2 linked regions of the Yarrowia lipolytica genome follow. The protein of the gene in region 1 purifies or fractionates together with the protein of each later gene. This does not show direct contact. Links are inferred from orthologs where the notes say so. Each region holds a gene or a part of one and is shown on either strand. Other genes may lie near its edges.

Evidence for each region.
Region 2: the proteins of YALI1_D07729g (region 1) and YALI1_E41399g purify together in Saccharomyces cerevisiae (affinity purification with western blotting; 3 studies listed by BioGRID). This does not show direct contact. The link is inferred for Yarrowia lipolytica from reciprocal best matches to the Saccharomyces cerevisiae genes GAS1 and EMP24.

Annotation. Positions count from the first base shown.
Region 1 is NC_090773.1:770,575-774,705, reverse strand, and holds YALI1_D07729g (uncharacterized protein), read left to right. Parts: upstream 1-1,739; coding exon 1,740-3,398; downstream 3,399-4,131.
Region 2 is NC_090774.1:4,138,165-4,141,249, reverse strand, and holds YALI1_E41399g (uncharacterized protein), read right to left. Parts: upstream 1,327-3,085; coding exon 1,138-1,326; intron 1,044-1,137; coding exon 630-1,043; downstream 1-629. Other genes in the region: YALI1_E41421g (uncharacterized protein), read left to right, coding at 1-382; YALI1_E41393g (uncharacterized protein), read left to right, coding at 1,906-2,862. UniProt on the Saccharomyces cerevisiae protein: Constituent of COPII-coated endoplasmic reticulum-derived transport vesicles. Required for efficient transport of a subset of secretory proteins to the Golgi.

The sequences.
Region 1 (4,131 bases):
TCACGTGAATCGCCTTCGCGTCGCCAACACACACACACACACACACACGACACGAACACACTTCATCCCTTGTTAGCACTCAAACTCTTGTCGGCCGTCCAAGCATAACGTTGTGCGCGTGATTCATGTGCGTGTCAAAGGACATAAGGAGGCTTTTTGCGAGCGGAAAAGCGTGAAACGATAAAGCCGAGTTGAGCAGTCACGTGACGAGACGTGTATCGACAGCCCCCGGTACCTCTAGTCACGTGATTCGTTCGACGCGCGCGCCGTGGTCACCCTTTTGAACGTAACCGGCCCGGAAACTCTGACGGGCGGTTGTGATACAAGGAGAAGGAGAAAGAAAGAAGGAAAAAAAAAGCACTCTGAATGGACCAACTCTTTTTGCGATGAGATGAGGTGGATCACACAGCAGAGTGCAGATCTGGTATTGTGATTGTCGACAGCACGCTACCGTAGTACATTTGTTTGGCACTTCTTTGTTCTCCTGTCAGTCTCCACTGCACAGCCCAGTGGGGTGGAGTGGAGGGGAATGGAATGGATGACACCAGCTGTAAGTGGACCAACATGACATTTGGTGTGGCCCACTATGTATTTGTACTGACAGACTGCTTTTGTACCATTGTCGTACAAGGAACACGTTCCGCCCCACCGGTGACCCTGAGACGCGTGGTGCCCCTGAACCAGCTGAGTTTGAGGTTGAGTTAGGGGGAGGCTTGAGGGGTTGGTGGTGAGTGATGTCTTGAGGAGTACACTGTACAGTACGAGCACGAGCACGAGCGTGAGTGTGAGTACAAGTATGAGTATGACCAGGAGTATGGGTATTCGTACAAGTTTGGATCTATTGGTACTGGTGGAGCGGCGATATGAATGTTCTTGTGATCTGGGACTCTATCTACAGCCTCTTGCATCCAATTGAGTCTTCTCCACCTAACTACATTACCTCTTTGGTCTGGGTTTCAGTCGATATCCTTCGTATCGGTTGTTTCTGGCGTTGCAGACGTCGGGGCGGCTTGGCAACGGCACCTGTGCATTTCCGGGAAAAGAGGCCCGAGTGGACAGAGATTGGGACATGTAGCAGCTGGAGGAGACGGCCAAAACGGACGGGAAGTCGAAAAATCAACCCCGTGGTCCCCAATCGCCCAGAGCCCGTCGTCATGGTCTTCATCTGCACAGCCTAGACACAGCCTCTGGGGCCCGAAAAATAACTCGGGAGCCTAAACACGTCAGCTCACCCAACAGGCAAGCGTGCAACTTTGGGGGCGATAACCGCAAAGTTCAGCTGCAATAGGCGTGTTGTGAAAACAGGAGGGTTGGGAGGGATGGCTAAAAATAAACTGACTCCTGGGACCAGCTTTGGATGCGGGCCGATTTCTCCCGGTGTAGATAGGCCGACTCCACGACGCGTCGTATTATTTTCCCGACCGGTCAAGCTCATCGCTTGGCGCCAAGAATTTCACCCCCAAGAAACTAAATACCTCACTCCACACCACCGGTGCAAGGGCGAAGATGCCGTCTCTTGGCTGCGTAACAGAGTTGGCCCTAAGATGCGTCGTCCCACACAGTGTAGGAGCAGAGTTTGCGAAAAGTCGAGGGGGCCTTGCTTTGTCGTTGCCCAAAGTGGAAAAAGCCAATTGCCAGTCTACAACAAACACATATAGTGGCTTCTCTGCCCAGGCCGGCTCCCTTTTTTCCTATCACCCCGCTTCCCATACACCTTCTCTTGCCTCCCCCTCTCCAAAATGAAGTTCTCAGCGGTCTCAATCGCTGCTGCCCTGGCCTCGCTGGTGGCAGCAGCAGACGTGCCCTCTATTGACATTGTGGGCAACAAGTTCTTCTACTCCAACAACGGCTCTCAATTCTACATCCGAGGAGTGGCCTACCAGCAGGACTCGGCCAACGAGACAGCCAAGGAGACCTTTTCGGACCCTCTGTCGGACGGCGACGCCTGTAAGCGAGACCTGCCCTACCTGGTGCAGCTCAAGACCAACGTGCTTCGAGTGTACGCCATCGACACCACCAAGGACCACGACACATGCATGCAGCTCTTCAACGACGCCGGCATCTACGTCATTTCCGATCTCTCACAGCCCGGCGAGTCCATCAACCGAAACTCGCCCTCGTGGGACGTGGATCTGTACCAGCGATACACCAGCGTAGTGGACACCATGCAAAAGTACCCCAACATGCTGGGTTTCTTTGCCGGAAACGAGGTCACTAACAACAACACCAACACCGATGCGTCTCCCTACGTCAAGGCTGCCATCCGAGACATGAAGTCGTACATGAAGGAGAAGTCGTACCGATCCATTCCCGTCGGATACGCCACCAACGATGACGAGAAGACCCGAGACGACCTGGCCACCTATTTCCAGTGCGGCAACGCCTCCGAGGCAGCCGATTTCTACGGAATCAACATCTACGAGTGGTGTGGAGACGCCACCTTTGAGTCCTCCGGTTACCAGCAGCGAACCGAGGAGTACAAGAACTTCACCATCCCCATCTTCTTCTCCGAGTACGGCTGCAACCGAGTCAAGCCGCGACAGTTCTCCGACGTGCCCGTTCTGTTTGGCCCCAACATGACCGACGTCTGGTCCGGAGGAATCGTCTACATGTACTTTGAGGAGCAGAACCAGTACGGTCTGGTGTCTGTTTCCGGAAGCTCCGTCTCCACTCTCGACGACTTCAACAACCTGTCTTCGCAGATGGCTAAGATTTCTCCTTCCTCCGCCAACACCAACGACTACAAGCCCTCTCAGACCGCTGGTGGCGTCTCGTGCCCCGACTTCAACGCCAACTGGAAAGGCTCTCCCACCCTGCCTCCCACCCCCAAGGTCGGAACCTGTCAGTGCATCAACGATGGCTCTTCTTGTGTCGTCAACTCGGACACTAACGCCAAGAACTACGGCGATCTCTTTGGAGAGCTGTGCGGTAACCTCGATGTGGACTGCTCCGAGATCCAGTCCAACGGAACCTCCGGCAAGTACGGAGACCTGTCCTTCTGTGACGCCAAGCAGAAGCTCAACTTCCTCATGGGCAAGTACTACGACTCCCAGAACGGCAACTCTCAGGCCTGCGACTTTTCTTCCCAGGCCTCCATTGTCCAGAGCCCCAAGACCGGATCCAACTGCCAGAACGCCCAGGCCACTGCTGTCTCTTCCGGCTCGTCCGGCTCTTCCGGCTCGTCCGGCTCTGGATCTTCGGGCTCTGGATCGTCCGGATCCTCGGGCTCTGGCTCGGGCTCTGCTAAGGGCTCTGCTGCTGCCGCTGCCTCTGGCTCGGCCGCCGCCTCGTCCTCCAAGGGCGGAAACAAGAAGAGCGCCGGCGCCTCGCTGGCTGCCGAGAAGGTGGTTGCCTCCGTCGTGTTTGGCGCCATCGCCATCATGGCCGTTATTGTTTAACATTCTAAAAAGTTAGATCGGAAGAGCGGTTCAGCATTCATTTGTAGGTAGTACAAAAATGGGGGTGGGGGGGGGGGGGGCAGATTTGTGGTGTCAATTGTGGTGTCAAAATGAAGCTGAGCAAGCGACCTTTTCAAATGTCTCAAAAAAGCGTCATCGGCCAATCACAAGTGCCGAGAAATGGTCAGATCACAAATTTTTCAAGATAGTTTTTCACATTATAGAGTAACCTCGAGTAATTTTTAACTTAACAAATACCTCAATAAACTACTTGGGAATACTACCAAAAATACTAGCAAAATACTCCACCACGGGTCGTAAAACTGCACTATTTATTGTGCATCCGACTCCACGGATGGTTCCAGACGTTGACAAGACACTAAAAACACCGCTACCTGTACGTGTAGGACCAGTGCCCTGAATTTTGCCAAAATTTCGCAGATTTTCGCCAAAATGACGCTAGCAAGAAAATTGGCGCGTCACGAGCACGTGGTGAAAACCCAAGACCCAAACTGAATCTGCGCTGTACTACCACTCACCCAAACAGGCCATGGATTATCAGATCTGCAGACGTGGCGGGGCCCGGTTGCTGGATGGGGACAAGAGCAGTAAAACACAGCTTATGAGCGGGTCGATTTGACAGTGTTGTTTTTTATCGAGTCAAAAACCTCAAAATAGCAACAACAACCGCTCATGTTCATCCAATGGAGCCATTCAGACTACTGTTGTGGAT
Region 2 (3,085 bases), on another chromosome or scaffold:
GTCAGCCTGGTCTTTGTGGCGATTCCAGGATCTCAGCGAAGAGGATCGAATGAAACTCCATCTGTACTCCTACAAGCTCATGGACAGCAAGGCGTCTGGAGAGCTGGCTCTGACTCGGCTTCTCAAGCCTGTAGCACTGGCTAGAATGCCTCTACTGGATCGCCTTGACAAAATCAAGTGTCCCACCATGTGGATGTACGGAGAGAAGGACTGGATGAATGCCGAGGCAGGAGCCGAGGCCACCCAGACTCTCAACCGAAACGCCAGCAATGAAAACAACACCCAGAGCGTGTTCAAGCTGGTCAAGAGAGCAGGTCACCATATTTATCTTGATAACACCCGAGCGTTTAACTCTCTGATTGTCGACTTTATGACCCGATAGAGTACATACTGTACAGAATGTACACTCACCACGCCACGCTAACTAGAACCCCTGACAGCTTCACAGTATATTATATAGATTAGAATACACAGATTAACACGAGGAATAGTAATAAACATCCCCAGATCCACTATGGTACTTGTACATCACCATATCTTACACGTCATAATACGCCCCACGGCGGTGAAACACCACACTACACGAAATGCCTCGCACTTGTAACCAATGAACATGTATTTTTATCCCATTAAACCAAAGTCTTGACCTCAAAGAATCGCTTAAGGTAGTAGATCTGGAACAGAGAGTTGACGGCAACAACACCCAGCTGCAGAATGTTCCACCACTTGACTCGGGCGTTTGTGGACTCAGCAGTGTTTCGGTGGGTTCGCTCTCGAACAACAATGTAGCTCTGTTCGTTTCGCACCTCCTGCACAACCTGGTTGAGCTTGGCAATCTCCTGATCCAGAGCGTCGTCGGTCAGCTGGTTGAGATCAATGACAATGACACCATGCACGTTGAAGGTCACATCCTTGGTACCAATGCCGGAGAACTCATTGGAGAAGCAGTACTCGTATCTGCCGGGGACCTGGATGGGCACCTGGACGTCTCCGTCAGGAACCTCGTGCTGCTTGACAACCTGGTTTCCATGGGGGTCGTTGATCTTTGTTAGTTGTATGGCACGATAATTCGACGCGTCACGCGCCGAAAACGATTCAATCCACCATTCCTGCCGTCCCTTTTCATATAATACTCACCACAAAGTCGACAGCAAGCTGTCCACCGGCCTGGGGGTCTCGGTTTCCGACCTGGAAAGACACGGCCAGAGTGTCACCCTTCTTGACATCCTCGTAGAAGCACTGTCGCTTCCAGGGCAGCAGGAGCACGTTGTGAGCGCTGACCACGGAGGCCAGCGCCAGAACCAGAAGACAAACGAGGAACTTCATGTTGTGTTTTGTGTTGGTGTTGGAGGAAGATCAAGGTCGCAGTGCACAGGATACAAATGACACGTTAAAGGATTCCCAAACCTAAAAACGCGAGCAAGCGTAATAGTGAATTTGAGAGTGGAGACTGTGAAGGGGGACAGTACTTGAATACAAGAGCGGAAAATTGCTTAGGACCGGAAAAAACGAGTTATAATCCAATATTTACAAGACAGGCATGTTTTTCTCCAAGAATTTGACAGGTTACGAGTATTATTGAGATCACTTGTACATACTCCTCACCCAGACCAAACCCATACATACCCAATAAGGTGTATAGTATGTACAAGTACAACATAACATAACATATATACCGGCTACGAGTAGCTAGCAATATACAAAATGATCGACTGTGCCGAAAATCCCAATCTCTATCACGCGACATTCCGTGTCTCATTGCGTTTACTGTGCGTACACCCTCCAGAAATCACATTCTCCCAAACCTAACCCAGATTTCACGGGAGTATATACCTCATCGCATGACATCAGCGGTGCACCTCCAGCAGAAGTACAGTACATCACCACCCTAACAAGCACGCAACCATGGGATACGGCGAGAAACTGGCCTTTCGAAACGATCTGGGTGGCAACCACTTCACGCTAGCCCAGCCTCGAGGAGGCAAGGGTCTAGACCCCAGCTTTGTGCCCCGGCAGAAGCCTGGGTTCATCACAAACACCGCCAAACGGGCCATTGCATACATTTTCGTTTTTTCGCTCATTGCCACCGTCATGTTGATGCAAATGCGAGACAACTCTGATCCAAACGAGCCCGAGCTGGCTCTGGTCAAAAAGAAGCCTGCTCCGTTGAGAAAGGACCCTCGAGAGCAGGAGGTTGTGCTGGGGAAGCCCAAGCCCAAGCCCACTGTTGCTGCTAAGAAGGAGGATGCCAAAATCAAGGTGAATGCTCGAAAGGGAGCTCCTGCCGCTGACCCTGCCCAAGTGCCTGAGAAGGCTGAGAAGCCTGCCGCCAACTCCAAGGACACAAAGCCTCTCAAGTCTGAGGCTGGTGGCAAGGCTGTTAAGGCCGACGAGGCTGACGAGGTAAACAAGGCCAAAACCCAAAAGAAGTTGCAGGATCTGGAGGAGGAGCTGGAGGAGCAGGAAGAGGAGGAGGAAGATGACCTTGAAGAGCTTGAGGACTACATGGATGCAGACGATGCCGCTGGGGCCGCTGAGGCTCGAGCTGGGGCTGCCACTGGGGCTGAAGACTCTAACGCCAGCCCCACCGACCTGGCTGAGAAGCTGGGCAAGAAGCGGCCGGCTTCCGATGCCCAGGCCAAGGCTATGGAGGCCAAAAAGGTTGAGGACGCCAAAGCCGCCAAGTTCAAGGATGAGCGTGCCAAGCAGGATAAGGTCAAGGCCCAGCAAAAGCAGGTACGAGATGAAGATAGCGAATACGAGGAGGGAGAAGAGGGAGACGAGGGTGAGGGTGACGAGGAAGAAGAAGAGGAGGAAGAAATTGAGATTGGAGATGCCAAGATTGCCAAGGCCTTGTTGTAATTAGTAATTTATACGTCATATGATAACTACTGTTGTTTTGTGTAGTGTTGTGTCTCTCAGATTGTGTGTGTACATACTGTACAATGCTGCACTCACCTTATGCTGTATCATACTTAGAATTCACGCAAGGTTCGTTTTAGTAGTGCTCATTATCTCTCGCGCCATGGTCATGTTCCTCATTCTCGCAGCGATTACGATAGGCTTGCAATGGCTTCCGGAGGTT